Linked DNA regions of Neodiprion lecontei. The protein of the gene in region 2 purifies or fractionates together with the protein of the main gene of each other region. This does not show direct contact. Links are inferred from orthologs where the notes say so. Each region holds a gene or a part of one and is shown on either strand. Other genes may lie near its edges. The genes, in order: nuclear pore complex protein Nup133 and nucleoporin Nup43.

The links.
Region 1: the proteins of nucleoporin Nup43 (region 2) and nuclear pore complex protein Nup133 purify together in Homo sapiens (affinity purification with mass spectrometry; 5 studies listed by BioGRID and IntAct, counting the BioPlex papers as one, with this or other methods). This does not show direct contact. The link is inferred for Neodiprion lecontei from reciprocal best matches to the Homo sapiens genes NUP43 and NUP133.

What each region holds. Positions count from the first base shown.
Region 1 is NC_060264.1:18,450,396-18,466,585, reverse strand, and holds the start of nuclear pore complex protein Nup133, read left to right. Parts: upstream 1-7,408; 5' UTR 7,409-7,537; coding exon 7,538-7,650; intron 7,651-8,018; coding exon 8,019-8,358; intron 8,359-8,834; coding exon 8,835-9,152; intron 9,153-10,346; coding exon 10,347-10,517; intron 10,518-11,101; coding exon 11,102-11,231; intron 11,232-11,937; coding exon 11,938-12,114; intron 12,115-13,160; coding exon 13,161-13,320; intron 13,321-13,497; coding exon 13,498-13,669; intron 13,670-14,345; coding exon 14,346-14,505; intron 14,506-15,314; coding exon 15,315-15,427; intron 15,428-15,507; coding exon 15,508-15,614; intron 15,615-16,190. UniProt on the Homo sapiens protein: Involved in poly(A)+ RNA transport. Involved in nephrogenesis.
Region 2 is NC_060264.1:26,623,426-26,639,330, forward strand, and holds nucleoporin Nup43, read left to right. Parts: upstream 1-7,903; 5' UTR 7,904-8,040; coding exon 8,041-8,154; intron 8,155-8,644; coding exon 8,645-8,752; intron 8,753-8,885; coding exon 8,886-9,010; intron 9,011-9,122; coding exon 9,123-9,244; intron 9,245-9,360; coding exon 9,361-9,512; intron 9,513-9,592; coding exon 9,593-9,839; intron 9,840-9,975; coding exon 9,976-10,148; 3' UTR 10,149-10,261; downstream 10,262-15,905. Other genes in the region: astakine, read right to left, coding at 1-44; mannose-6-phosphate isomerase, read right to left, coding at 4,440-4,646, 4,720-4,922, 5,067-5,234, 5,313-5,628, 5,707-6,024. UniProt on the Homo sapiens protein: Component of the Nup107-160 subcomplex of the nuclear pore complex (NPC). The Nup107-160 subcomplex is required for the assembly of a functional NPC.

The DNA.
Region 1 (16,190 bases), about 8.2 Mb from region 2:
GAAATATAATTACAATTGCCATTAAATATTATAGGAATATTGAACAATTAATTAATAATATAATAAATTGTATAAGCTTATTCATAGCTACTGAATTTGTGCTTGCGCAAAAAATGAATTGAAATAATTCGATGTAAACATGAGAAGTTTGAAAAATTTCAGATAAAATATAATTACAATTGCCATGAAATATTATAAAAGTGTTTTACTCACCGAGCACAAATCCTCGTTCCCCTCCTCCTCAATCACCGAGATTACCCGCAACCACCCCTAACTACCTCCAACGAAAACTGCCAACCACCTCGAGTTATACCTCGAATACTAATAAATATTTTCAGCGTGAGAACAAATCAAAAATAATGTGTAAGGTTTGATATAATTTTTTTATCGACATATTTTACTAAAAAGATTATGAGAAGATTGTAAAGTTAAAGAAATTTTATTAGCGCACCGACAGCTACTGAATTTGGGCGTGCGCGAAAAACGAATTGAAATAATTTATTGTAAACATGAACCAGGAACCACGGAGCGCTTATCCTGGAAGTCGAGAAATTTTATTAGCGGACTGACAGCTACCGAATTTGAGGTTGCGCGAAAAACGAATTGAAATAATTTATTGTAAACATGAACCAGGATCCACGGAGCGCTTATCCTGGAAGTCGAGAAATTTTATTAGTGGACTGACAGCTACTGAATTTCAGCTTGCGCGAAAAACGAATTGAAATAATTTATTGTAAACATGAACCAGGAACCACGGAGCGCTTATCCTGGAAGTCGAGAAATTTTATTAGCGGACTGACAGCTACCGAATTTGAGGTTGCGCGAAAAACGAATTGAAATAATTTATTGTAAACATGAACCAGGAACCACGGAGCGCTTATCCTGGAAGTCGAGAAATTTTATTAGCGGACTGACAGCTACTGAATTTCAGCTTGCGCGAAAAACGAATTGAAATAATTTATTGTAAACATGAACCAGGATCCACGGAGCGCTTATCCTGGAAGTCGAGAAATTTTATTAGCGGACTGACAGCTACTGAATTTCAGCTTGCGCGAAAAACGAATTGAAATAATTTATTGTAAACATGAACCAGGAACCACGGAGCGCTTATCCTGGAAGTCGAGAAATTTTATTAGCGGACTGACAGCTACCGAATTTGAGGTTGCGCGAAAAACGAATTGAAATAATTTATTGTAAACATGAACCAGGAACCACGGAGCACTTATCCTGGAAGTCGAGAAATTTTATTAGCGGACTGACAGCTACTGAATTTCAGCTTGCGCGAAAAACGAATTGAAATAATTTATTGTAAACATGAACCAGGATCCACGGAGCGCTTATCCTGGAAGTCGAGAAATTTTATTAGCGGACTGACAGCTACTGAATTTCAGCTTGCGCGAAAAACGAATTGGAATAATTTATTGTAAACATGAACCAGGAACCACGTAGCGCTTATCCTGGAAGTCGAGAAATTTTATTAGCGGACTGACAGCTACCGAATTTGGGGTTGCGCGAAAAACGAATTGAAATAATTTATTGTAAACGTGAACCAGGAACCACGGAGCGCTTATCCTGGAAGTCGAGAAATTTTATTAGCGGACTGACAGCTACTGAATTTCAGCTTGCGCGAAAAACGAATTGAAATAATTTATTGTAAACATGAACCAGGAACCACGGAGCGCTTATCCTGGAAGTCGAGAAATTTTATTAGCGGACTGACAGCTACTGAATTTCAGCTTGCGCGAAAAACGAATTGAAATAATTTATTGTAAACATGAACCAGGAACCACGGAGCGCTTACCCTGGAAGTCGAGAAATTTTGTTAGCGGACTGACAGCTACTGAATTTCAGCTTGCGCGAAAAACGAATTGAAATAATTTATTGTAAACATGAACCAGGAACCACGGAGCGCTTATCCTGGAAGTCGAGTTTCACCGCGTAGCGGACCCGAAGCGCGGGATCCGGGAGGTTGAGAACCCGGTACTCGAAATACGTAGCGGACCCGAAGCGCGGGATCCGGGAGGTTGAGAACCCGGTACTCGAAGTTTGCGGAGCGCGACTCTCAACCGTCCGCTCTACTGCGCGGTTGTTACCAGACTGAGGAACTCGGCTAGCCGATTTTAGATTGGTGACGTCACTTTCCGAACATCCGAAAATTCAAACTTTGGTTTCGAACTGTAATACTAGGTATGATGATGTATGATGTATGATGTATGATGTATGATGTATGATGTATGATGTACGATGTATGATGTATGATGTATGATGATATGATATGATGTATAATGATTCTAGTGTTCACATTTCATACAAGAAATACACACTTTATCTGTCCTGCCGATTCCAGACTCAAGCGGCCAGGCCCTTCGATGGTCAGCCGTTGACTGAAGATATATCCTTTACTTAACGGGTCAGCCGATAACGCTGCCGTTCTGCGACACTTGGATGATGAAAAATTTTGCTCGTATCTTTCAAATGTGTGTTAAAATACACTCGAAGTGTTAAGAAGCTTCGTTCTTTCTCTTCCTATCACCTTTTTAGGTCTTTAAATCACTACGCAGCGTTAAATACTATCTCATATACGAAGCATCCATTTCATCTCGTTCAAAATTAGCGCATCCGTGATGTATTACAGTTACTCTGAATTTTTTTCCATCCGAATACTTTTCGAAAAACAATTTTGCTTCTCTACCCAACGTAGATACTTCACTCTCGACTAGCTAGAACAGCGTTTTGGTTATATGCCTACGAAAATTCAAGATCGAGAGAGCAAATGAAAAGTTGTTGAAATAATTATGAATACTAATGTTATGGAATACATCGAGCGCGCGTCGAATAGAATCCCATTTCGAAGTGAATAATTCTTCTCTTTTCATATAATAGCTAATCTAGTAATATAGGTAAATAGGATGGTTGGAGGTGTTCGGAAATGGTAGGACATTTCAAAAGTTAAGGCTGACGCCCACTGCACCGCGGCGGACCGCGGCGCAGTTATCGTGAGATGCGCCCACTATAGTCGCGTGACCACCCGCCGATACTGTTTCTACGAAAAAGAGATATTTATCAATTATCTGATGACCACGATTTGTCTCAGTCGTCATGGGCACACAATAAATAATCATGCATATTTGCCACTACTTCTTGATTACTCATTATGGATAGCTCAGATGAAGAAGTGTTTAACACGAAAAAAAATTACTAACAATTGTCCATCATAAATTCGATAAAAAGGAAAAAAGGATTAAAAATCAACCGACAATGCTCATCTTTCGCCAGAATTTTTGTTTCTACCTAAACTATTTCGGGTGTGGCTCGTTGGAAAATCGTAAATTTTTTTATTTTGAAACACCCTATTATACATATAATATATGTATAGTAAAAATGAAATAAATTTTAGCTCAAAATATACTCTCTCATTTCTTATGCATAAAAATTAATACGCAAAATAAAAAACAGTCTTCATGAAATCAGCATCATACCCGAACAATGAGAAAAAAATAAATTTTTTACATAAAATAATCCGTTGATCATAACTTGTTGTTCTAAAACTCACATTTACTTAAATTTCTTTAAAAATGAAGTAATTACTTGCGTAACATTTATTTAATATCCGTAGGATTTATTTAAAATGTAAAAATGAATACATTTATTTTTCGCAAGAACAGCGGAGAGAATGAAAAGAATCCTTGTAAACCATAACCATTTACATCAAAGTAACGCAGGTTTCCCTATTTTTATACTTGGGATGAATTTCGGCATCGGTCGGGTGTTCACACTAGACGACGGCGATGCGCGGCGATGCGCGGCGCACCGCCGAAATATTCCCAACCTGGAACTCGCGAAAAATTGCCGCGGTCCGCCGCGGTCCGCCGCGGTCCGCCGCCGTCCAGTGTGAACACCTATATGGATAACTGTATGAGCGAAAATTTCGCCGCCGTCCGCCGCCGTCCGCCGCGGTCTAGTCGGCGTCAGCCTTAAAAGTTTTTCGCCCAAAAAAACAGCAAGGCTTACCCCTTTGTATTTTTGGCGAAAATTTTTCCGATTTGAAAAAGCGCTGAAATAAATTATTTCACCTACTACTCCGACGTAATTTTGCGAGAGAAATAGATTGGGCGCAGTCCCAATACGCTGCGATCAACGAATCAAAAGTTACAGCCAAAAAACGAAAACCCGAGATTTCGACATTTTTCAGCAGGTGCTTTTTCCTTCGTGATTTCTATCCTGTTGATTCCACGCTGTTTTCGCTGCGTTTTCTGAGTTCCTCGGGGTCCAATTGGTCAGAAAAGGGCCACACAAATCGAATCGGAGACTAAAAGTTTTCCGCCCAAAAAAAACAGCAAGGCTTACCCCTTTGTATTTTTGGCGAAAATTTTCGCGATTATGAAAAGCGCTGAAATGAATTCTTCCACGCACTATTCCGACGTAATTTTTCGAGAGAAATCGATTGGGCGCAGTCACAATACGCTGCGATCAACGCATCAAAAGTTACAGCCAAAAAACGAAAACCCGTGATTTCGACATTTTTCAGCAGGTGCTTTTTCCTTCGTGATTTCTATCCTGTTGATCCCACGCTGTTTTCGCTGCGTTTTCTGAGTTCCTCGGAGTCCAATCGGTCAGAAAAGGGTCATACAAATCGAATCGGAGACTAAAAGTTTTCCGCCCAAAAAAAAACAGCAAGGCTTACCCCTTTGTATTTTCGGCGAAAATTTTCGCGATTTGGAAAAGCGCTGAAATAAATTCTTTCACCTACTACTCCGACGTAATTTTGCGAGAGAAATCGATTGGGCGCAGTCCCAATACGCTGCGATCAACGCATCAAAAGTTACAGCCAATAAACGAAAACCTGTGATTTCGACATTTTTCAGCAGGTGCTTTTTCCTTCGTGATTTCTATCCTGTCGATCCCACGCTGTTTTCGCTGCGTTTTCTGAGTTCCTGGGGGTCCAATTGGTCAGGTGAGGGTCGTTTACATCGAATCTGAGACTAATAACTTTCGACTCTGAAGTCGAAGAAATAGTAAGGCTAACCCCTTTGTATTTTTGGCGATAATTTTTAAGATTTTGGAAAGTGCCGGAATGAATTCTCTCATGCACTATTCCGACGTAATTTTGGGAGAGAAATCGAGTAGGCGGAGCTTCAATACGCTGCGATCAACGCATCTCAAGTTGCAGCCAGAAAACGAGATTCTGCGTTTTCGACATTTTTTAGCAGGTGCTTTTTCGCTTGCCGTTTCTCTCCTGTTGGTCCCACGCTCTTTTCACTGCGATTTCTGAGCTCCCGAGGGTCCAATTGGTCAGGTAAGGTCATTCACATTGAATCTGAGACCAAAATCTTTCGGCTTCAAAATCGAAGGAAAAGTAAGGCTAACCCCTTGGTATTTTTGGCGGAAATTTTCATGATTTTGAAAAGTGCCGGAATAAATTCTTCCATGCACTATTCCGACGTAATTTTGCTATAGAAATCGAGTAGACGCAGCCTCAACATGCTGCGATCAACGCGTCCAAAGTTACAGCCGAAAAACGAGATCCCGTGTTTTCGACATTTTTCAGCATGTGCTTATTCGCTCGCCGTTTCTCTCCTGTTGGTCCTACGCTCTTTTCGCTGCTTTTTTTGAGTTCTTGAGGGTCCAATCAGTCAGGTAAGGGTCATTCACATCGAATCTGAGACCAAAATCTTTCGGCTTCAAAATCGAAGAAAAAGTAAGGCTAACCCCTTTGTATTTTTGGCGAAAATTTTCGAGAGTTCGAAAAGTGCCGAATTAAAATTTTTCATGCACTATTCTGACGTAATTTCGCGAGAGAAATCGATTGGGCGTAGACCTAATAAGCTGCGATCAACGTATCTCAAGTTACAGACAAAAAACGAGATTTCGAATTTTCGCCATTTTTCTGCAGGAGCTCTTTCCCACGTAATTTCTCTGCCGTTGGTCCTAGTTACTTTTCGCTTGTGATTTTTGAGTCCCAGGGGGTCCAATTAGTCAGAATAGGATCATACAAGTCAAATCTGAGATTATTTATTCATTATTTACCATGTGCTTTATTCTATTAAGGTTAGAATCTTATCATGTCCAACTTTTTTCATGTTTTTCATTCTACGGTCCACACAAAAATTTAAAAACAAATACATCACTCAAACAACTTCACAAGGGAGAAAGGCTTTGACCTGACTTATTCTTCATTTTGATACCGTTGGATATAGCGTTCTCTGTGTTGCCTATCTCAGCGACAACAGCACTCTTTTCGGATTTAACGCTAAAAATTTTCTCCACTTTCATAGACCACGTTCCCAACACAGCGTTCGGTCTCCCTACTTCTAGTCTTCATGGTTTCGCGCTTAGCTGACTACGGCGCTGTAGGTTTCTTCATGTTGCCAACTCAACTGTCTACAGTGAAAAATTAGCCGTCCCAGATTCATTGTCCTCAAGTGTACATGCGCATGCGCACGCGCTGTCGGCTTGCCGCACACTCAACTGGCGGAATGCGCGACCTAGTACGAAAATTGGTCCCCTATCGAGCACACCTTACTTGACTCCTTACATCATGGTCATGAAGATCGATTATCGAAATTCGAAGTTCGAACACCGGCTTCGAAAATGCGCACTGAAACGTACCAAAACAAATTGTGAAAAGATTATGCTGTCAGACCAATATCAAATTCAGTTGAATTACAATTTCTGATGCGTATTTGCCAGTTTCAAAGACCAAATTTTCTTGCATCATTTATTCATCCCAGTACCAACTCGAAATGGATCGTCCGAGCATGAGTGCATCTTTGGGAAACACTCTAACCTCACCACGAAAGAGAATGTCATTAACGCAGTCCCTGAAGAAGAGTAATTCGTAAGAAATCTTCCTACTGTATCATTGATTTCGCAATCCTTATCTCAGAATACGGGAAATATTTCGGCAAATTTCCACTTCAATGAATGATTAAAAATTTTCGAAATCTCTTCACCAAATGTAAATAATGTTTGGGATTGAATTCGTTGGATGAAGAAAAATACGATATATTTCCGAGAGAATTTCAAGCAGTCGGTTCAAATCCCCAGTTATATTTCCATGGCCCTGAAATATAGTTTTCTACATAACCAAACCATGTGTAAACCAATAATTTCTTAGCATGGTTCATAGCTAAGATGGGTAATTAGGGATACTGGGTAGACGAAACTTGATACTCTTCAATAGTCTTATTATGAGGTTGTCGTCCCTGGAGTATTCACCAAACTGTTATAATCATAAGTTGAGGAGATATCACCAAGTTTGAGAATACAAAAGTAAATATTACTAAAGTTATAACTGAAAGCTTAAGTATCAATGTTTCGTTTCCAATTGCTGAAAGACGGTTGCAAATATATCAGATTCCAGCCATTTGTTTCTGCAGGTCCTCATTTTATTCAAGAGACCATATTGTACATATTAAATCGAACAATGTCTTCATCATAATTGCATATCTGATTTTTTGATATTATAACATTGCACCAATTTCGATTATGGTCAACAAATGACAATATTAAATTAAACACTGAAAGAAAAAAGAAAATGTCTGAGAACATAGAAAATAGTCTTCGAAATAAAATAAACTCTAGTCTAATGAAATCAATCCACACTGCTAGATTTTTAACTTTTTCGAAGCAATTTGAGATCAAGTATCGGTATGTAAGCTCTTGTTTGAAATCCCAGTAATATTTATTTGGGTATTTTTAACGTGATTTTCGTAGCTTAAGAATATAGTAATTGGTTAAATACTCAGTGTATGACAACCTCGTAATAAAATTGATAACCAGTATCGATATTTGGCCCAAAAACCTCCTCAAAAAAATATCTATGTAATGTGAAACAACGTAAGTTAATTTTTTTCAAATATTGAACAAACAACGCACATACACGCGTAGCCACCGCTAAACATACTGCGGAACTTATAAAGTATCGTAAGATTTCACCTCTCATCGAATTTCAAATCCAGCTAACAATTAAAATGCGCTTATTTGTTCTCATCTGAATATAAATTGTTCAATTCCAGAGTAATAAGCATTTCGGGGCGATCGAATCAGTCTGTCCAAGTAATATGCAAGACGGCTGGCCATGTCGTGGAAAGTTTCGGACCTTCTTTGCCGGTTCTTGTGACCGAGGCATTGACGTTTGTTGATCGAAACACCGCAGTCAGCGTCAGTGTGTCTTTAGATGGATGGGCTTGGCTGGTTTGCGGGCGCAGGCTCCTTGTGTGGCAATGCAAAACAACCATTCATGATCCCAAGCTCAGGCGGACCTTTAACAGTCAATGTCGAGAGTTGCTACTTCCTCAAAGCGACCTTGCTCACAAAGCTGACTGCATTGCTGTCTGGCTGACTCCGGGTCATCAGGTTAGGTGTAAATCTAGGTGTAACAAGGAATAGCATACCTGAAGTTTCGATTGATCAAGCTTCAAGATTGGTCGGAAAGGATTCCAATAATACCGAGTAGATCACTGTAAGACTCGGCCACAGTTTTAATAATTCTCTACTTTTCAAAAGCCTCTCAGGTTTCATTCACTTTTCAGAAATTCGTCATCTAATCACAGTATTGGTAGAAAAGTTTGGTTTTCGATCAGACTTGGTTCATCGAAACTTCAAGCATATAGGTCATAAAGAATAAAGAATTTGGTGAACAGAAAATCAAGTAATTTAATTAATTTAGATGAGAAAAAAATTTGACAAATTTAGAAACCAGGCTCCGATTCATTTTTACTGGAGGCTTTCGACTTTAACCTGGAAAATTTTAGTCTTTCTGTAAGGATGTTGTTATTATATCGCATTTTATTAATCATATTTCTCATATTTCTCATTTTTTTAATACCAAGGTTCCTAGCTGCATGGCTGTATCTCCGGAAGGCGTAGTTCGCTACTGGTCAAGCGTCGCTCATGAGGGGTCGTCGGTGGAAACAAGCGCAGAATTGGCTGGACAGGAGGTTGACTGTCTAACTTACGTACCAGGGCACGGTTGCATTTTAGCAACGACGACTTGCACAGTGGCGCTTTTGCAGCCGCAATTTACCAGTGGACGAAACAGCATTTCTTGCCGAGTTCTTCGCACCAGCCAAGGCTGGCTAGGAGGCATAAGTCGTAGGATGTCTTCCTTGATCTTTGGAGCCATGCCTCAATCTCCAGTCACTGAAACAGTACTGAATTTTTTAATTTATTTAGCATTTTTAGAGGGATTAACTAGGCTCAAAGTATAGTATAACCACCACTCACGAAATCATATGAAATCCTTTGAAATTATACGGTGAAATCTCAGGAAATCTACTGAAATCCCATGAAACCTGTTGAAATCGAGTGAAATTTTTTGAAATTCCTAACATTTTATGAAATATTCTGAAATCCTGTAAAATCCTGTGAAACCTCCTGAAATCATTTAAAATATTTGATATTTTTGTAAATACAAGAATCCCCTGAGACTTCATAAACTGTTTTCAAATTGTTTGAAATCCGGAGAAATTCTGTGGAATCTTGTGAAATCATTAGAAACCACCAGAAATCACTAGAATCCTTTGAAATCTTATGAAATTCTGTAACATTCTGGGAAATCTTGTAATATCTATGAAACCTTAATCCTTAAATCTGCTATACACACAAATTGATGAATTTATTTTCAAATAATTAGTGCTCGGGTTTTGTGGAGCAAGAGATATTTCAATCCTAGTTGCACATTTTCATTAAGTTGATTAAAGTTCATGCGAAATATTCCATGTAGCTCGTAGCAAATAATCTTTCAATAACAGGTGATTTTTCACATGTCGATAGAATTTGTGAAATATCGGTACGACCTTCAATATTTCTGCATCTGCAATCATGTACGTTAGCAGGCCGCAGCTTTCGCACGGTCGTCTGAGTAAAAAGTCACAGTCGACGATTTTCTTTCTGATTCAATTGTCTAGTGACGGTACTTTTTAATTACTTTTCTAGACGGCTGCAAAATCTATTTTTCTTAATAAATCAGTGCTTTAGTAAACAGTCTATTTGGAAGTATGTGTTGCTTATTCACAGAATGTTGATGGAGAATTCAGCATTGCGTATCCAGTGGTTGCTTAAAAGTGAAGTCTTTTCCAGACCAGAGGACTTGATAAAATTCTTTCCAAGACTGCATCAGTTAAAAAAGAAAGAAAAAAAATCAGTTTTTATGGAATGTATAAAGTTTTGGACAACATAGATATGGCAGAATTTTTTCCACTCTCGCGAGATATCTCCAGAAACTTTACCGATTTCTATTTTGACATTTCACTGAATTTCACTAGAATGCATGGAATTTCATGAGATTTCTCACTTTCTTGTGTTGAACAGTAAGAGTTTGCCTGATGTATTTAGTTTTTCAGAAACTTGTCAAGGTTACTTGTACATCGCTTGGTGAAAAAGCATCCAGAGTCTTGATATTAGCAGGCACCTCTCTGCAATACTGGTCATTTCCACACGGTGAGACGGAGAAGATGGAATTTGACGAAGACATCGGTCACACAGTTTCACAAGGTTTTCAACGAAGATTTTGGGTATGCAATTTCAAAGAATACCCCCAATTCCAGATTTCTGCACTGTTTTAGGGACTATATACGAGTATATAGCTGAAAGGGTGGGTTATTCTTAGAAATTTATATTTCTACAACCAATTGTTCAATTCGATTAGATTTGATGTTTTCAAAAGCATGTGGCTTCAGTGAGCTTCATTTAGAAATTTTTTCTCATTAGAATCAATTACCGAAAATCACTGCTATTGACAATAACGTCAACGATTTTGCTGCGTCAAAAGTTTTGAGGTGACCATGATATTTGGCGCAATCTCATAAACGGCTCAAACCAATTTACTTTAAATTTAGAGATAGCATTTTTGGACAGTTATGTCACTGATCAAAAGGATTGGCATGATTGTCAATGGTAATGCGCCTTATTGATTAGATCTGATACAATAGATATGTAAATGATGTTCTGAAATTGCAAAATTCATTCACTTTTTCAGCTGTCTAGTCATACGTACCAACTTATTTCTGGTTGGATCGGAAGCTAATTCAACTCCCTCTGTAAACTGAGTCGAGTTTCTCTTCTTTTCGGTAATTTTTCTTTCAATTATTCATCACAGGAATCCAGTGCTTGCGTGCCTCAGGGTATGGATACCTGTTTAATCGACATGCAGCCATGCGAAGAAGGCGTAGTAGTGCTGATGGCAGCAAGTTGCACAGAAGTATCGCCAGAAATTCACTTTGCGATTGGTAATCCCCTAAAACTTGTTACTAAACAAATTTTTTTTTATACATCTTTATTGATTTTAATGCGAAAATAGCAGTAAAAACTTAACAAGCTTTTCGACCAAATATCCATTCAAAAGTTTATTTATTCAGTTGCTACAATTGAAAAAACAAATGTTCGAAAGCTATCATTTCTGTTGAAAAACCCCAAATTTCTCCATAACTGAAGTTGGTGTCGGACTTCGGTGATCAAATGTTTTGTTGTATTTTTTTTTTTTTAAATAGACGTCTAGGGACCAAAAATACTTGGATATCAAAGTATAAGAATACGGCAATGAGAATGTATCAGCAAATTTAATTCGCAGGCTCTATGATCCGAAAATTTGAAATCGTTCTACGGAAAGAGCGTAAGCCAGAAAAAAATGGTATGTCCTTGTAGTCTAATATTAGCTGACGTTCCGTCTGGCGAAGCTCCTGTATTAAATTTGCTGAAACCCCGTTCTGTGTTATGGCAAGGTGGTTTTCAGACATTTAAAAAAAGATACAGAAAGTATGAGTTATTTAATCAACGTCATTAATTACACTTAAAACTGATAATATCTTCACAAGCCTGGTTATTTAATCGTATGAAGTGTAAGATGTATAAATTCAATTTTAGACACATTTTTAATGTAAAAAATACAGACTTTTTACCTTTATATGTCTACAATGCATACGTGTACATTCGTAGGTTTAATTCCACTTGTTGATACGAAGTTAACAAATACACTAAAGTGGTTTATACCTTTGAAAATTGGTCCTTTACGATACCGAGATGACATCGAATCTACAATACTTTCGTATCGATTCATCTTGTCTGGATGGGAGGCCATTATATACAACCAACAGACGGTACTCATTGCAAACCGTGAGTAGCATTTCTTAGTTTAAAACGGTACTATTTACTTCTTTGATGAAAGCTGAACATCTAAAAAGCGGACGGCTAGGTAACAGTTCCAGTTCTTAAGTATTCTCATTCAATTTGATAAGTTTATTCTGTTGATGTGTAAACTTTATACAGGGAATTTCCATCCGTTTTTATCTAGCGTTGGACGGTCATAATTCCCAAATTTATTGTAACTTCAGTACACGGTAATGCGCCTGTATTTTTCTGTTTCTTGACATCTAATTTTTTCGGCGTTTTTGAACATCTAAAACAATTGCGTCAAATTATCACCAAAATTGTAAAAACCCTAAGATCTTGCTGAAAGTAATATTTTCATTTATGTGGAAGTTATGAATTATTTACTACTGTTCAGATTTACCGCTCAATCTATTACTCTAGATTTTTCAGGATGCTCTGAAAATTCTATATAGAATGATTAAAAATTCTGGACACCCTTATAAATATTTTGATAATTGCAAAAAATCACTTTTACAATGGTTTGGATTTGGTTCCAAAGCTACTTGTTAAAAGAGGCCGATGAGAGAGACTTTACTGTTTTTCCTCAAGGAGACATGTAGAATTACACATCTACTTTTTATGTACCTTATACATTTATTTTCCACTCTTATCTTGCACCCCCTCTTTTAACCTTGTTCACTTTAAAATTAAAATATTGACTGAAAATTCCTTCATTTGAGTAATGAAATACTTTTTGGCCAGTTTTGAAATGTTTTGAACGTTTCAGAAATTGCGTCTTTTTCAAAATTAGCGTTTTTCTTGCGATGTGAGAATAATTCTACAAAATAGTGGCAATCGAATTATTAGAAAATTTTATGCCTATTTCATATACTTGACTGTTATTTATTATGCAGTATATCTCAAGAGAATCTTAAAAAAATAAAATGAAGATTATACGCTACAGTGTACAAAAAAGCAAATGAGTTAATTTCCAACTTTTCTGTTCAGAAAAGCCGGAGAGTTATTAAAATTTGTACGTCATGTTAATTTTTCTGACCATATTTTTATAGGTATGTCAGAACATGATCAAGAAAAAATAGATCTCGTCAAAGGCGGTGAAGATAACATACTTGGCGGCGCACTCTGTTCGGGAACTCCGGTACTTTTCACCAAAAATCTGGGGCTGGTTACGATCATACCCATGGATTTCAATGCTCAAGATTTCAACATGTATGTTGATGAAATTGGTCTAACCTGTTTGGTGGGAGCGTGCAAATAGTTTTAAATTATGAATAGTTTGAATCATTTGAGTATTCGATTCTATCACTTTTGTTATTTAAGCTCCGCTTGAATACTTGCATCATTTAGAATGAAGATATTAGCAAGACATCGTATTTTCTTTTTCAGGAGTTATTCTGACGCTAATTTCAGCCTCGATTATGGCGGCAACAATTCGACATTCGGCGCAGAGAATTTTGCTGCTCAATTGAGTAACAATGATTTGCAGGAAATGACCTTTACCTCAGATGGTGCAACGCAATTGAGTGCAGCGTTCCTTCTTAGTCTCAGACAAAATAAGGTAAAATACATAGAAAAAGGAGGAGAACGTCTGTTTCAAAAATTTCAATTATTTAATTCATTTGTGACATGAATTTGTTGTATTGTAACTATTAAGATTAGAGGTGTGCCAATCATTTGCAATCACGATAATTTAATTTTGAGATTTGATAACTGTTCGAATTTATGGTTTAACTAGCTGAAATTCGCTAATTCTTTTTATAAATCACATTCAATTTTCTATCCACAAGAATCTTATAAATATTCTCAAAACACGAAAAAACTGGAGACATCAGGATTGGAATGTGAACGATTTGAACTACTAAAACTAGTGGAATAATTGTGGCCATTCAAATTCATGAAATAATTCTAACGGTTCGAATTACAGAAATAATTTTAACTATTCAAACAATACAAACTATTCGCATGCTCCAATATTCGATTCGATTTTTTAAACGCATTTCACTATTTCTTTCGATTTAATTCGATCACTATTAACACACCTCTATTAAGAAAGCAAATATGTAAGATTACCAGATCCAGAAAAGTTGCGAGAGTCGCGCAAGAAATTGCAATTTTTTATAATTAGTCACTTCATCTTCATTGCATTGCCGTCGGACGAATCACGAAGTGCAGGATATTCAGAGCAACCGAAATTTAATGTTGTCAATTACTGCACGAGCTTATATTTTTTACAGGCTCAATGTCAAGAAATATTGTCGGGACTTTTTCCCCTTCAAGAGGAACCTGTAATGGACATTGACGCAATTTTGGACACAACAGTCTTAAAAGTCGCTAAAAATCTGATTGATGATTACCCAGCCAACGATCCTCGATGGACAGATCATAGGGACTTATGTCAGTATTTGAACAATTATATACTCGTGGTGTTTAATGTTGCAAAATGTGAATCTCACGTGTTTGAAGCTATTAACCCTAATTGCTCACTCTGGGTGAATTTCACCTCAAACATCTTTCAAACTCTTTGTAGAGTCACTTTCCCGTGGAAATGGGTTTTGTTGTTTTTTTTTTAAACTTTGGTAGAAGTGAACGCCGTCACGCTGGGTGAATTTCATCCCAAACATTTTTCAAACTCTTCGTAGAGCCCCCTAGTCGTAGTAATTTTGGTGAGGAAAACTGGTAGAGCTTTTTCTGTGATCTGTAAACAATACCAAGATAGATATGTTTTTTTTTTTTAGATTTTTAGAAATCTCCATTGAAGCAGGATATAATTTTTTTGGAACTGGGGTGAATTTCATTATCTGTGACCGTTATGCGATTCTACTGAGGTTTAACCAATTGGGGTTAAACTTGAAATCATTCGTACTTTTATATTCTCAAGTTATCAAATTATTCACACGGAAATGTTATCATTTCACAAATTTATATTTTCATATCCACATGTTGACATTTATTATGGCAGAATAAGTTCTGATATTTGTATTTACATATTAAGATTCAAGTCAATGTTCCGATGTTCAGGGGAGTTATTACATTTCTTTCCTTCATTACTACTAAATGTCACAAAAACCGAGTGTATTGATCAGTTTGGGTGATTCAGGAAATGTCCGGTACAAGACAGAACTTTACAGCAACTCAGCCACACTCTTCTGGTCATTATAGATTGCAATACTCATCTCTAACATTTATATTTTTGCTACTTATAGCTATGACAATAAATGCTGTTACCGCTATGCAAATTCCCCACCAACTGGAAGGAAAACAAAAGGCCTTGGATCTCTTCATAGAGTTTTTGAAAGAATTCAATTTATGGGACAGGGTAAGTTTGTTTATCTCTTTACAGTCATTCCTTCAAAAATTAAATAGCTATTTTATTTATAAATTTTAATGTTTTTCTAGTTCTGCGCAGTTTCATATAGAGGAATAATCATGGCCGCAACACATGTTTTGGGGGAATATGCTGAGAAAATAGTCGCTGCCACAGCGATTTACAACTTGCAAATGAGGTGATAGGTTTGAAATTTAGGTTACGTTACTTGTTGTTTTTTCATTGAAAACATTTGAATGTAACATAAATTCGTAGATGGGATAGACCCTTTGTAATTTTCTGCTCTAATAGAGGAGATCAAAGTTGGTAACGTTGACATAGCCAAAAATTGCAAAACAATCATTATTTTGCTACTAAACCGTAACTGAAGAAGTTAAGTTTGTCAAATAGTTTATTTTTGCATGGTCTACTTGCTTTGCATTATTATATCAGCGTTACAAACTTCAATCTCATTCTCAGATCATTCATCCTTAATACCTTAGCTTGCATCACCAATGTGAGAAATTAGAAAACAAGAAATTATGCTCTATACTCAAACCGATTCTCCCCGTTATTACCTCCGATTTGATGCGAGATTTTTCACTTCAATTCGCCTATCCCACAAACTTTTTGTATCAATTTTTCCACGTAATATTAATTCCCGTGCCTTAAATTAAATGATTGCTTTCCTTCAGCCACAAAATCTTTAGAAAAATTTGGTTTCGAGGTACAATGACACAGCAAAATTGCTTGTGAAATGTCTTTTTTTTCTGCT
Region 2 (15,905 bases):
CCTACGGCCACGATGAGCACAATAAAGGCCAAAGGTTGAGTCATAGTGTAGAGTACTAGTCCACGTGCAATGTTACTGAAACATGGTCATTACCGATCGTCGTAAGAAAATTGTGTGAACAAAAGAAAAATACGCCTTTTTTACGAACGTAATTGCGCACTTTGTGATGTACACGGTATATCCACATGATACATTGGTAAACGTATAACTATAACGCGATATACATGAATTATTCATTACGTCGTATCAGTATATTTCAAACGTTCCAAAAACAGATAATAATTACAGTCCACCACAGCTAATGTTACGATTTAAATATGTGTATAGTATTTATCACTACATGATATAAATATTTACATATATTTGACCAACGTTATAATTAATGGGATTCACAATTCGCAGAACTCGACTTACAAATAATATTATTGTTTATAATGACCCAGATGATATTCACAAGTTCATACTTACCGTTGAGTATAGATTACGGATTATGTTTCCAAGAACGTAATGCCGATAAAGTGCGTCTGAAGCGATTATTTTTTCAACTTTTAGAAATCTACAAGTCCCTGGTATGGGAAACAAATGTTAATGAATTAAATATATCATCACAGCTGATTAATCCTTTTGAAAATAGAAATTCCGGCTTGTTAACTTTATTTGTGTTTTCTCGGAAAGGTAATTATCGATACTCACAAAAACATAAGAAAAAAAATAAACATATTAATAACACGCTATTGTAAAATGAGAGCTGGTTATAGTAAAAATTTTCCGGTTAATCGCTGATCTCTGAGTTATCGGATCTCTCAACTGTTCGGCAAACAAACAGCGAAAACAAAAATATTTCAACGAAACAGCTTGGCACGACGAAATGGTCCGCGTCACGTTAGTTCGTGAATGATTTCTGAATAATTTAATTCCCATTCTCGCATCTGTCTTATTTACACAATACATTTATGGCGTATAATAAATCTCGAAGAACAATGCTGCGTTATTTTACATGGATAGTAATTGATGAAGTCAGTTTTGCATCCGGCGGTAAATGCTAAATATTCAAATTAATATTTTGCAATTCAAGATTCTTATGTTACGATAGTCGGTCCGGTTATAATTTTTATGTTTTTTTTTTTCAATTTATTTCCTACTTATTATAGCTCGGCAAAAGATGAACACTACCCGAAAGCTGATTACCATTGCTGTATAATACCGCGGTAAATGTAATACATTGAGATAATTGCCCTCTCTATACGTATAACGTCAAGTATACATATATGTATATCTTCGCAAGGTGAAGGCCAAAATGCAAATCCGTTGGGAATATTGTATCATTAATATCTATAGACTGACAAAAAAAACATGCCAGATGAGAATAACCCGAGGCTGATGGTAGTCTTCGGTAACGCTGTACGTACTTAAATTGGCACTCATACATATTAGCGATATTTAAGTACGTAACTGTATCCTGATGAGTTTTGTACTATTTCTTCCAACTTTATGCAGTCACGCCGGTCGATAAACTATTTTTTAGAAGAAACGTTTAACTCTTCTTTTATGTCCGCTTACATTAATAGAGATAATTGTTTTCCTCCCTATATTTCTGACCGTATAAAAACGTATTTCATGTTCAGACCAAATTATTCTATTGCATGCACACTATGCGGATTACAGTAGTTAGTAACACCTGACGACGAGTGATCGTCATCGGAATCCCGGATATGCGATGATGTATCACGTCCTGACTATTTATCCTTAGGATAACTGAACAACTGCAGAGTATTTCATTTTGATCGTCCCAGATTACTCCGAAACTAAACAATATACGAAAAAATGTTGTTTTTTTTTTCCCCTAGCTGGAAAAGTATATTTTTTGTACAGGCATCTGAAAGGGTATCAAATTCTGGGTGATAAAGTACTACGAATTAACCAACTAAACTCGTCTGACACTGTTGGGTAATATTTGAAATGGTTTCATTTAAAATATAAATGGCATTTTGCATTTAACATTTTAAATGTTGTTAAAGTAATCATTCACATTTACCCATTTAAATTATGTTTTGAAAAGCATTATCAATTTCTTATTTTAAGTAGCTTAATTGAAGCATTTTACCCAGCAGTGTCGATGGGTCAGTGGAAATACTTGAGGACTCGAGTATTCTAATACCGGAAACTATAAGAATAGTTCTCTACGTGAAGTTTATAAAGTTGTACTTGTTACCAAAAAATAGCGCAATTTTTTTTTTTTTATTTCCCAACTTTAGTTCAAATCGTTCGTGTGTACTTATTTAACGGTATCTTGTTCTTATCGTTGATACTTCTCAGGGCAATGATATTTAAAAAAAACCAAGTTGACCTTCACTTGACCCAGGGTGTTCCACTAACGAAAAGTCTGACACTCTCGTATTCCCCCCCCCCCCCCCCCCCCCTTTAAACCATGAATATTTTGTAGTAAACAATATTTCGTATATTGTTTAGTTTCAAAATGAAACACTCTGTATACTGCAGATTACTGTATAATCGCTGATCGCGTTCGTTTTTCATTAAATAATTATACTTGCCACGATAGTTTCGATATTGAAATTGAATATTATACCAACCGTGCAATTAATGTAAGGCTCGCCTCGGTGAAAAACCGTGATCAATTCTTCAATACTCAATGTCTGAATGTTGAAATGACACTAAAATAATTCACTAAAGGATACAGTAAATCTCGCTGTGCATCTAATTTACGAATAAAATATTGTCACAATAAAGTTTTTTTAAATTCAATTTAATTTCAGAGTTCTTTTAAATTTTTGTAATATTTGAGGAACACTAACTTGGCAAATGCGCTGAGGCGTGTGATTGTTGAATCTGATGAACGACTTGTTTTATACCGCGGTTCAAGTCTTCCCGCAAACGAGGAATGGCCACAGTTGTGTGCGTCTTAATATCACTCGCGCACACTTGTCCGCGGCAACAAATAGACGACTACAATAAAGCATCGGGTTTTATTACAGCCATCTAATGAGTCCTCTGCAGGGGATTTCAACGCACATGGGTAGGTGTATGTACACGGTAACCATACATGGACTGTTATTACATACGTGCAACCTGTAATTACTGTACATACGTAGCGTGATGATCAAGTAGAATATTATACCTGTTGTGTACAACACCGGTAGAGTGATTTCTGACAATTGATTGCTGGTGAATAATACGGAATTACTAATTGTGTAAACAACTTGATGGATTAATATGGCACAAACAAGAATTGGTATAAGAATTGATACGCACGCACCTTTTTGCAATGAACTTTAGCGTTAAGCATTGCAGAACCTCGACATGACAATCGTACGACAAATCTTTTAGAAAAAAGACTTTTGCGGAAATCGTTTTTTTTTTTTTTTTTTTTTTTTTTACACTTTTCACTATTGAGCTTGCCCGGACTCTGGAGTCATATCAAACGGATCGTGATATGACTCGTTTGGTAGGCAAATTTGAAAAATCGCTGTGTTATGCTGACTTAGAATCGGAAGTTTCTCGACTACGACTCCGCAGCTGGGACTGTAAATATCAAACAAACGGAAAAAAATTAATGGGCAAAGTACTGGAGGTATATCTACAGCATCATGGGTTTAGTCATTCTTGTTTAATAGCTAAAAAAATATATTCTTACTAATAAGTTAATACGAAAAGAAACAACCAAAAATGTCGATAAAATTCTTATCAAACGGCTTACACGATGACAATGCACAAAGCTTTCATTAAAAATATGTACACAATTTACACGATGCTTAGAAATTAGGGCTTCCGTCTGTTTGACATTGAGACTTGCATTCTCGGGAGAAGCTTCGACTCTTTAGATTTAACTCAACACTTGAATGCAACTGAAATCGAAAAAGTCTCAATCAAATATATAGATCAATCTAAAACTTTTATTCGAGATTTCGTCAATATATCTAGTAGTGACGTTGTAAGATTACTTTATACCCTCATCGAGAGTGGTAAGCTTGTTACACCAACTTATCGTCTGTATGTTACAATATCAAAACGATTGATAGAGCAAAATTCATTTCGAAAAACTTTCACAATTATCAGGTACAAACAAGCAAGTTTACCGACTAGGAACATATTGGATGATCGAATCTGTAATCGATGTGAGTTTTCCAGTTCACCGACACTAATCGCTGTGTAAAGATTCAAAGCAATATTATCGGTAAATTGAAAAGTCGACAGTGTTGTGCACGGTATGAATGCAATTGCTCTGATGGGTAATGTAGATAACAAATGCCACTTTTTTTAATAAGTTCTTCGATTTCTATTACATTTCCATACTTACATATTTTAAGAAAGTATGGAATGTACCTAGCCCAACGCTGTTCATATATGAGACATCATCTAATCTCCCGAATGTGTCCATAAGTCGCATATGTTCCAATTTTATTACAAGGCGTTTGTTATCCTCAAAGGTTTACCATTGCTTGAAACATGAGCATTGGATGACAACCGCATAGCACTTTGATGGTAATCTTCTCGTTAGCTGGTATGAATATCGCGGAGCCTCGTGTAAGAACTATGGAGGGGCCAATCTCTGCCTTGCCATTGACAATAATTAAAATGCTGCCTGTACTTCTTGGTATTAAATTATATACTGCTCTTCCAGGTGGTATCTGCAACATATTTCGATTAAACTTGTGTACATTGATATTACGCTGAATTGACATAAAATAATAAAGCACTCACAGTAATCTTTGCAACTGCAAAATCAGGAACTGGAGGTCTGAATATTTCTGTACACTCATCTTCCCGTGACGGTTGAAACCTTTTGGCAGATGCTGGCTCACAGTTGTATGTCAACATATCTACTAATGTATTTACATCTTTTGGTTTTGGGGTTAATCCTGCTCTTACAACATTGTCTGAGCAAGCCATACACTCGATACAATCTAAATATAAATAGCAAAAGTTATTATATTCATTATTACCATAATAAAACAAAGAATGTGTATTTACTAAACTGAAAATATTTCTGAATAAAGAAGTAGATACTGAAAAATTTCAATGACAGAAATTTGGAAGGACTCGCTCACCACCCGAAAGATATGCATGAGGCTCGTTAGGTCCTAGAAATAAAGCTTCCCCAGGCTGTAGCGTTACCCAATTAAACAAGTAAACACCAAAGCATCCAACATCTCCAGGAAACTCAGAGTGTAATTTCTCTAGCAAGCTGCCATTGAGGGCTTGCCTACCTGATTCATCTGAAACAAGACAACTTTGCCTGTAAAATCATGGGTAGAAGTTACAAGATTATTCAACACAGATGCCTGAATACCAACCTAAGTGCGATAGTCTGTTCAGTAATTTTTTGAGTTGCAATGCAACAAATCCTGGATCACAGGTCATAATATTTTTGAAGCAGTTTTTGAGAGCTGCATGAAGACCTACTTCATCCGAATTAACCAGTTCCAATATTTTATCTTCTCCTACAACAGCACGGAATTCTGGAACAACCTTAAAGAACTGCTTGATTTCAGATATTGGACGAAATCCGCACAGAGCTTCAAACGGGGTAAGAGCAATCGCTAGTTCTGGCTTGTGATTTGGATCTTTGTAAACGCCAGGGTTCAGCTTGTGAAGCCTCTCAGCATCTTCCTAAAACCAGTGTTATTACTTTGTAGACTCAAAATTTTCGATTCAATGGTCGGCATCGGTGGGAAATAAAGTTTTCACCTTGTTGGGATGAGCTTGGATTGACAAAGCCTTGTTAATCGACAAAACTTTTAATAAAAATGGCAGTTGAGGGCCGAACGTTTCTTTTACACCATTGCCCAGCATATGGTTGTGCTCTTCGATATATTCGGCCAATAATTTGTTCCCCTCCTTCAAATATGATGGTCCATTGGGATGCGTGCCCATCCAAAGCTCTGCGTAAGGCTTGCTCTCGTCTAAAGAAAAATCTGGATTTGCTGCCTTGACCAAATTTGCTACAGTACTTTCGATACCACGTTTCCCCCACTCGTATGACTGGACTGAACATTTTAATTCCATTTTGTTGCTTCAGTTTCTAAAAATTAAGACAAGAGAAGTTATAAATTACTATAACAGTAATATTATTAATAATTGTGATAATGATTACAAAATAATAGACAGGTGCCTGTTTGGGAAATTCTTTAAACTGCTAACGAGTACACGTCAACACTTGAGAATAACTACGTGGAATGAGAGGTGAGCTAATAGAACACAATTATCCAGCTGATTAAATACAAAATTAAATACTTGACTGGTTTGGGAAAACAGATGAGGACTTCAGAGAACATGGAAAGATATGTGTTAATATTAGCAAAAGATGAATGACCATAATGTATGTGTACAAAGGTGTTTCACCGAAATATTTCAGCGTAATAATGACCAAGTGGCAAGTAAGGAAATAATAATGTTGATTTTCTTGCAAGTAACAGAGAATTAGGTGGATGAGATTTTGAACTTAAATTGCAGTTGACGTATCGCGCAAACACGATGCACTATAAGGAAATAGAAATCGTTTACATCGATGTAATAACAGTAGTAATGCCACCGGTGATAAGATAACATTTATAAACACATTACATCCTAAACATACGTAAGGTTAGAGATCGATTGACTCACAAACGTGTCCTTCGTAACATACGTTCGCAATCGATCACAACAGTGTTGTATTAACAACCTGTCCAAAGTGCAATATCGGATATCAAACGGACGTGAATACATGTGTCAATATGACGAATTGTATATCGATGGGATGTACTATTCACAATCAATTTACAGACGCTTCGATGAGAAGCAGGTTCGTTTAGTATCTAGTAGCCGGAAAGTTGTTGTAAAGTTAACATCTCAATGTAATTTTACGAGATCACTGACCTGCGCTAGGTCAGTGTCGCATACGCTGATTAAAAACTGAGCTGACTGTAATTATGGAGTTGATTTTCGTTAAAAGATAAAGTTGATAATGTGTTGCGAAAGGCGTTGAATATGTCGAAAAACTTTTCGGCTCTCTAACCGCGGAACACAGCCCAGCGACCAACTTGCGACTACGGACACTGGAGCACACGCACGCAGAATACTAGATGACGTATGCATGCATGCTGTATACCTATGTATGTATGCGTATGTGTGCGGGTGCTATAAGTACGCATACACGTGATGCATCTCGCCTACGCCTCTACCTAACCTACACTAGCATAAATAGGTATATATGTATGACTTTCATCCAGCGCTATTCAATTTTTTTGGAAAGCACGTCACACGCTACGTCATCATGTCCCTTCACGTGTGATGACGTCGTATGATAAGACCCTTTGACTGTTTACGATTTGTGATTGGGTGCCCCGTTGAATCCAGTATTTAAAACCTCATTGCTCGGAAATTGAATCACGGATACTATAGATTGAATCGCTATGAATCTTTTTATGTTTTCTCAAGATTAAGAACAGTTCACAAAGTCAGAATATTATTCTTGTTCAAATAGTCAAAATATAGCTCGTATTTTATACTTTTAACATAGGTATAACAACTGGAAAACGGAGCAATGAGGCTGTATTTGCTAGACGTGACAGAGAGTGTCAGTCGTTTGAGTCGGGTTAAAGTTCGATTAGCGTTGTGAACCGGATGTAACTAAAAGATAATTACAGAAAACAATAGTACTGATAAATTAGTATCAAAGAAATTTGCAACAACTATTTCATGGTACATACATCAAAGTTCAACCCGACTGGCCGCCTTTAACCTGACTCCAAATCAACACCCATCCTCGGTGGGTGTGTTTTATTTACCACATTTCAGAAACGAAAGTATTGAAAGACTCATATGATTGGTTAATATTTAAAAATCAGTCAACCGGTAGCTTCTTTTAAGCCTTTCGTTTCCAAATGAGATCAGTGGGCCACAGTCCTTTATTCATGATGCGTGCGCAGTTTTTGTCGAGAACCGAGTAGTGGCAGAATGGTTTGAGGGAAAAACGGTTTTGATAACCTCAACAATCAGAATTCAAATAAGCAGATACAAGATATCCAGGTTGTGGCAATTAAAATGAGTGAAAATATTCACGGAACATTTATTTCCGAAAAAGTATCAAAGATCAGATGGAAACCCGAGGACTTTGTTGAAGCAAAATCGTTTTTAACTGGAAGCTGGGATAATCCGGTAGGGTTAGGTGATAGGTTAGAAATTACGCCGATCACCTATTTATTATTCAGTAGTTTGTTTTACAGCAATTTAAAGTATTATTTACATTCTTGGATATGATTTTTGATTCACGAATTTTCGATACTTTAGATGTATTTCTCTGGTATTACGTGTTTCTTCATTTCTTGCAAATTAATCACAACAGTCAAGCAAACTGTAATAACAAAGAAAGAAACCCGGAGTTTTTGATTGAATGTGGGCGTTTACACAGGGGTTAAGCTTAGGATTAATTTGCGCTCTCATATACCGTTGCCAAAGTTCATGAGTAATCGTATTTTATCGCTGTCCAAAACCATCATATACGTTACCTATCATGTTCATGGACTTCAAAACAGTGCAACTAAGGGTAGAACCTGAATCCATCAGTACTGTCACTCTGCTATGCAAATAGCCATAGCGTTTTGAATTTTTCTTCATTCAGCTTTTATAATATGATCAAATCACACAGGTGAACCATATAACATATTGGACATTCGACACAAATGAAGAAGACGACGAGTCTTATCCCGTGATAATATCATCCCACGCATTTCTCGGCGACGTTACAGAATTAAGGGTAATAAGTATAGATGAGCATTAAATAACGATTAGATATTACAACGCTATAAACAGTAATTTTGTAAATTATATTCGGTGTTTCATCCTAAAACAAAGTTGGTTTTTCATTTTCATAATTTTCTGTGTTTAAGTTTATCAGCAAGGATCTGTTCGTGGCATCATCCTCTATTGGTACTGTACAATTGTTACAAATTCAAGAAAATCCTTATGCACAATTCAAGGAACGGTTGTCATGGAATTTTTTACATAAATTTCCGTAAGAAATTTTATTTCCCATTTATATGATTCCCTTTGCTCAAGCATCTGAGAATCCGACATTTGACTGAATCCGTTTATTAGACTCTAAACATTACGTTGAACAATTTCAGAGCATCGGATTACGCTTCATGTACGGCCATCTCAACTTTCGAGCAAGACATAGTCACAGTGGGAGAAGATGGTACGATCAACTTGTTAACAGCCAATCAGAAAATTCCGGTGAGAACAATTGGTAAGTAAACAGAAAGTAAAAAAGAATATCAGATTAAAATCACTAATGAATATTCATTTGTCTGGCAAAATTGTATCTAACTTGCCAAATTTTTGCCTACTTTATTTTTTTTTTAGAAAAATCAGATAGCTGTTCCATGCACTGTGTTGATTTTCTAAGGCATAGTGAAGTTTTGACAGGAAATTTATTGGGGCACATGAAAGTATGGGATTTAAGAAACAACCAGGATGTTCCCTCTACTACTTTTATACTCTCTGCAAATACAAAGGTAAGATTTTAAATACTTTTTCATTTGTCGAAGTGGCAACTGATTTCATAAGTCAAAATTTGTTCTATTTATTTTCTCAGACCGAAGCCACAAGTTTAGCACATCATCCTACACAGAGACACATTGTAGTTGCTGGTGGCGGTGACGGTAGCCTGACAGTGTGGGATTTGAGGCATAACACATATCCGGTTTCTCAATTAAATGCCCATTCCAGCTCGGTCAGCGAAATAAAATTTCATCCTGATAGACCGGAAAATTTGTTTTCGTGCTCGTCAAGTGGACAGCTATGGCACTGGAACAATGCACAGAACACTAAATTGAAATTAGGTGATTGTTATAGCGCGCGAGTTCTCAATTTTTCTGTTACTATACTTTATTCTACTTTTAAGATTGGATCATTTGAGACAACGAAGTCACTGTAATTTCTTTTTAATTATGATTAATATATGTAATTATATTACAGATTCAGGGGACACGCATTGGCTCAACACAATCAGTACAAAAGGAAAAGTGAATGTAACGTCAATGTGTGCAACGCTTCACAAGCCAATCAATACAATCGATGTTGACAGGTCCACATTACTCTTTGGCTGTGACAACGAAGCTATGTATGTCATTAAAAATATCGCAGTGTAAACAACTGCATTTATGATATACTTGTACAATATTGTGTCTTATTTCATAATAACTGTAATTAAACGCTGCCGTCTGTATTTTCTAATAAAATTGACACTCGTTTTTCAATCTCATAATAATTATAACAATTATCAGCCGCATATCTCTTTGTGCTGAAATTTACTTGACAAATTATGCGATACAACTAGAAAAGAACGATCGCATCCCTCTGTACGAGATGCTCATACGTATTGATTGTTACGAATTTCGAGTTTGAGAATATGTATTCCCGACAAAGTCGATACTATTTTATGCGGAATTTCCGCATTTTTCCGGTAACACCTAATAATTTTTTTTGTTCTTTATCGTTTGTCATGGAAGATGTGCTCATTTGGTATTCAAATCTCGTGTTTTATTGTAACAACTCGTGTCGATTGCGGAAGGTCAAGCAGGGGAGAAAGATGTTGGAATTGCCGAAGGTAACGTATGTGCACCTTCTTGACTTTAATTAAGAAATCAAATTTATCAAAGACAAAAATGTATTTACGTGAAATTCACTCTGACTAAACTAGAGAAATCCGAAGGTATTACGATTCCACATGCGTGGAATATTATCGAGGCACGAGTTTTGTTGACAATGAGTTAAATTTACGCAAGAATACAATTCTCATTTGAAAAACTACAATATGTTAGCATTTGACCAGTGAAAATAAGTTCACTCATGCTCGTTTCCACACCACCGCAAGCGGTAGAGCACGCGGCGCGTTTTTTTTTCTTACGTGGTATCCCCAGTAGGCCTACTCCACGGAGAATAATAGCAAGATCGATCTTACGTTCTTCGACAAATTGCGGATAACTATGTTTCACGTGTTAATTATGGTGTACTGTTTTTCCCAATCAATTTGTACTCGCGTATATTCGCAGTTTGTTCGAAATTTTTCAGTTAGTATGGCCCGCTGACTATTTATTATAAATTAAAGATGACTGTTTTAATTATGGATGGAAGATCATTGTTTTAATTATGGATGAAAGGTGATTGTTTTTATGTTGTAAGCGAACGCTGATCTTTGGATGTTCGGTTTTTTTTCTTATGATGTATGAGATAATCACTAAAATGGAGAATTCAGTAAATATGCAAAACAATCAATTAAACCAAGATCGAAAACGCGAATCGCTGTAAGACGTTGGCATTTACCTACCGGAAGACGATGCAGAAATCTTTGAAGAAATGAAAACAAATCGGAGGAGTATAAGCACAACCACCCAAATACGACGGAGCTGTATAATTCTACAGTGAAATACAAACCGAACATGACCTATAAGCGATTCGAGAAAAATAACTCTTGAGACTAAAACAATCGCAATAAAAGACTGTATAACCATTTAAAAAAACTGCAGGAGAAAAAATTTGACCACACTTTGTGATCATGATGATTCTGAACTACATCGCTAAATCTATGTATCGGTGACAACTAAATCAGACCTGAACCAAACCTAAATCTAAAAATGGTAACGTTAATTTTTCAGTAGTACAGTCAATAAAACTCATTTACCTGAAACATATGAAAATATAATTAGTGACATATATCGATACAGACAAAAATATACTTAGCTTAGATAAGTAAAAAATATAATAAACCAAAAAGAGACAAATTAGTTAGTTTCAACAGACAGAAAATTTGATTAGCTGAAAAGGCAAGAGGTTTGATAACTGAAACGGACAAAAAGTTTGATTAGCTAAAAGAGACAGAACGTTTGATTAGCTGAAACAGACAAAAGTTTGATTAACTGAAACAGGCAAGAGGTTTGATAACTGAAACGGAGAAAAAGTTTGATTAGCTAAAAGAGACAGAAAGTTTGATTAGCTGAAACACACAAAAGGTTTGGTTAACTGAAACAGACTGAAAGTTGTATTAGCTGAAATAGACAAAAAGTTTGATTAGCTGAAACAGACGAAGATATGGTTAGCACAATCACATAAGTCCATGTACTGACAAAAAATAGGTTGAGTCCAACATATTCGCTTTAATATACGTTGCTTCGATTATTCATTGTATTGATCAATAAAAAACATTCTAAATTTTTTAAATAGACATCTCTCTCTGCTTTGAGTTATTGAAGTAAATATTTTTTTCGATTGAAAATTCTTTAGTTCTCAGTGCGTTTGTTAAAAAAATTGGTCAAGTTGCCCTGAAACAGAAAATAATGCGATCAGTTAAATAAGTGTTTCTGTACATTTCAGATATATTTCATAAATACTTACGCCAAGATTTTCCACTATCACTGTACACTATCGAGATTTTTGTACCAGCGCGTTGAGCGCCGGGTTTCAAATGCTGCGCTTTCTCTCATAACTAAAAGATATCAAGTCCACGCGCAAAAGACACCGTGGAACTTGAAAACTTTATTATTTGTAAAAAAATTGACAGAAGAGCTGAAAGATCAGCACATCGAGAGTGCGTAACTCTTTTATATACTGTTTGAAAAATCGACGAATAAAAAAACGTGTCCCATTCCCGTTATTAATTTACGCGCAAAAGGCTGCGTCCAATTCTCATGATTAATCTACGCGCAATAAGGCGCGACAGATTAAACTGTCAAAAAATTTGTATTACCTGGGACTTGTCCCAAAAATTCTGTAGAAACCCAATCCACATCTGTATCTTTTTGAATTAAGTACATTGCTATGCGGATTGTTCTTCTCAGATCATAAATCGAATCGAAATCGGGAGGGAGGTTGGAGGGCATGCATTATTGTGTGGCGTGACGGTCGGCGGTCCTCTTCGACGCGAAGTCTTCGAGCTCAGCATTTCTCTCCATCTAGCGTACCACGGAACGCGATAGATGGTCTAGAGATGCGTTTTGCTCATTCAGACGATCACAGAGATCAACCTCATGCAATAATGGTCGCTAATGACTAAATAATTGAATTGAATTGAATTGAGTGACGATTGAAAAATGGTTGCAAAGCGACAAGAAATAGGAAATTCAATCTCTTTAATATTCAAATGCTCACAAATGATCGAGAGACTCGAATACGGAGTCATTTGGGTAAACAATTTCTGTGATCGTTTGACGCTGTGGATTATAAAAGTTAGTAACATCACGGTACATCGCAACCTACCTACCCTTGCCTGTTTCCCAACGCAACCACCCAACGGAAAAGAGACTCACACACGCATGCATAAGCCCCGCGACGTGTCCCAAAACGTCCACCTACCTACCCGGTTACCTATATTCGATCTAAACGATTCTCCATTTTTTCCAACACACGTCATTCTTCATCATTTGCGCCGTGGTCATCGACTTACATTTTCGTTGGTTACCTGTTGGGAGCAAAATGTTTTTGTATCATAGTCTGCCTACTCAGAATATAGTATCGCAGTTGCATTCCGCCAACCCTAATATTGTAGTAAATCTTGGCAGACTATCGGTACATTAACCTTTTGTAAAATTGATTAAAAACGTCCTGTATGCCAATTAGCATTTTTCTAAGCGAGCTAAGCCTGCAGTTGATCAATATTTGTTGGCTGTTTAAAGATTGAAAATGATGCATAATATAAGATGCAATTTCATTACGTTACGTTATGCCAGCCTTTGGAATTTTATCGATTTAACAATAATGTGAATAATTGAATACGTTCAAACCTCAGGTGAACCCACCACTTAAACGACATCATCGGTAAAGTCAAACGTAGATTACTACAGCAGTGTGAAACGCAATTCGATCTCGCGAGTGCCGAGTAAGTGATGGTTGCCTGTCGCGATACTCATTCCACTTTTAGCAACGTGCAAAATTTATAACTTTAAGTAAGCTACGATAAATTGAATTGCGAAGGAAAAAATTATTCGACTAAAGGTCAAGCAAGTTGTGATCGTGAATGAGCCTATCCATGCAGCTAAGAAATCGAAGATTTGTGCAACAATTGTTACCGCCACGCCACGTGACAGAGGAATCCCAGGGAAATACCCATAATCTAACACGTGCAACTCACCAACATTGCCGAGGAATGGAAAAATAACTCGGAAGTCTCTGCTTAGATCTGTAAAAAACAAAACAGAACATTTCAATTAATTTAATAAAATGGCTTTTCAGTCTGCAAATTAATTATTACTGTTGTCCAATTTCGTATTCATTGCATGTTATGCAAGAACAAAAGTTCGGCTTTGTATGTACCACCTTGAATTATCAAACAATAATGAAAATAAGTATTGTTACCTCGACTCTGGGCTGCTCCACACTTTTACATGTAGTAGTTCGTGCAACATCTGAAGTTTATTGGAGAAGCGAAGCACGTTTCACGTAATTTAGATCGTCACTCTCATAGTCCAAAAATCCGCACCGCAATAACACTCGAGGCTACATTCACTTTGTGTGCTGTAGCTGTCTGAACCGACTGAATAAACTTTTTAACTATACAACTGCGCATTTACCGAAGATCAGCAAAAAAAAAATAAAATGAAACTGACACACGACGCACAGATGCTAAAATAGACATCACTGATACCTAAAGGTACACAAAACAATGGAAACTCGAGACACGAAATTCACCTTGAACATGTTTTCATTTCAGTAACTCGGTTTCTCTTCAAGCTACACGCTACTCTTCGTGTATTGTTCACAGATGAGTATGGTGCAAGTACACTGATCGAACAACGCGGTCTGAATGTTGAAATAATCCTGCGTACACATTACGCCGCTCTCATCTCTCGGAAACGACTGATTCCGCACGACGTTCAGAAGAGAGTTAAATCAGTTCTGTGAAGGACGGAAGATAATAATTCTCCCGCCCTCTATGCTGCTCTTCCCATGGAGTGGGGGTAGCTGCACACGCCCGCCTGCGCCCACCTAGCTGTTTTTTCCCTCTCGTGGCCCCCCACTCCATGAGCAGACCGACACAGAGGGCGGAAGAATTATTATCTTCTGTCCTTTAGAGAACCGATTCGAATCCGTTGACGGGACGCTTAGCCCGTTGTTTATGCTTTATTTTATGTATCCCTATGGTCTCAACGGCCGGGTGAAAACACCACGTAAGCTACGCGCAACGCGATCAAAATATGTTTAGAGCTTTGCCGTAATATGCGACGTCAGGCGAAGTATGAATTCCCGGACCACTCATAACAGACATTTCTTGAACAAGATTTTGTCAAATTTTCAACTTCACTATGACGAAGGTATGTTACCAACGTTTTGCAGGCGATAGTGTAGGTTATGAGGCACTTCTTTCACCGGCGTGGTCAGTTGCTAATTGGTTGATAATACGGGAAACTGCTAATACTCTCAAACCGACCCGACCCGGCAAACTGTTACGCAAAATAACCACTGATATAGGTATTAATATATATCAGTGAAAATATCCCAGATTATCAGACTTTATACATTCTCAGTCGACGATACAAGTAAGGGGAAAATTCTGCGAAATACATTGCATTTAAGCCACGAAGCAGAATATGAGCAATGCTGTATGAGATAGTAATTAAGGTAGTTTGTGTACGCAATTTAAGTTCCAACCTGTGTGTAGGGGCAATGCACCTGTGCAGGATGCGAGATGTATGATATTGTATTGTTACTATTGCATGTAACTTAGAATAAAATGAATAATACCAAAATAAGTTTCATCATATTTTTCCGTATATTCTCAGCTTGTGTTGATCCTACGATGCTCCAATAAATACCTTTTTTGCATGCAGTCCTTGGGGTCCAATTAGTCCAGAAAGGGCTTTTGAACAGATTCTGATTGTAAGACGAAAATTTTCCGAGCTCTGAAAATCGCAAAC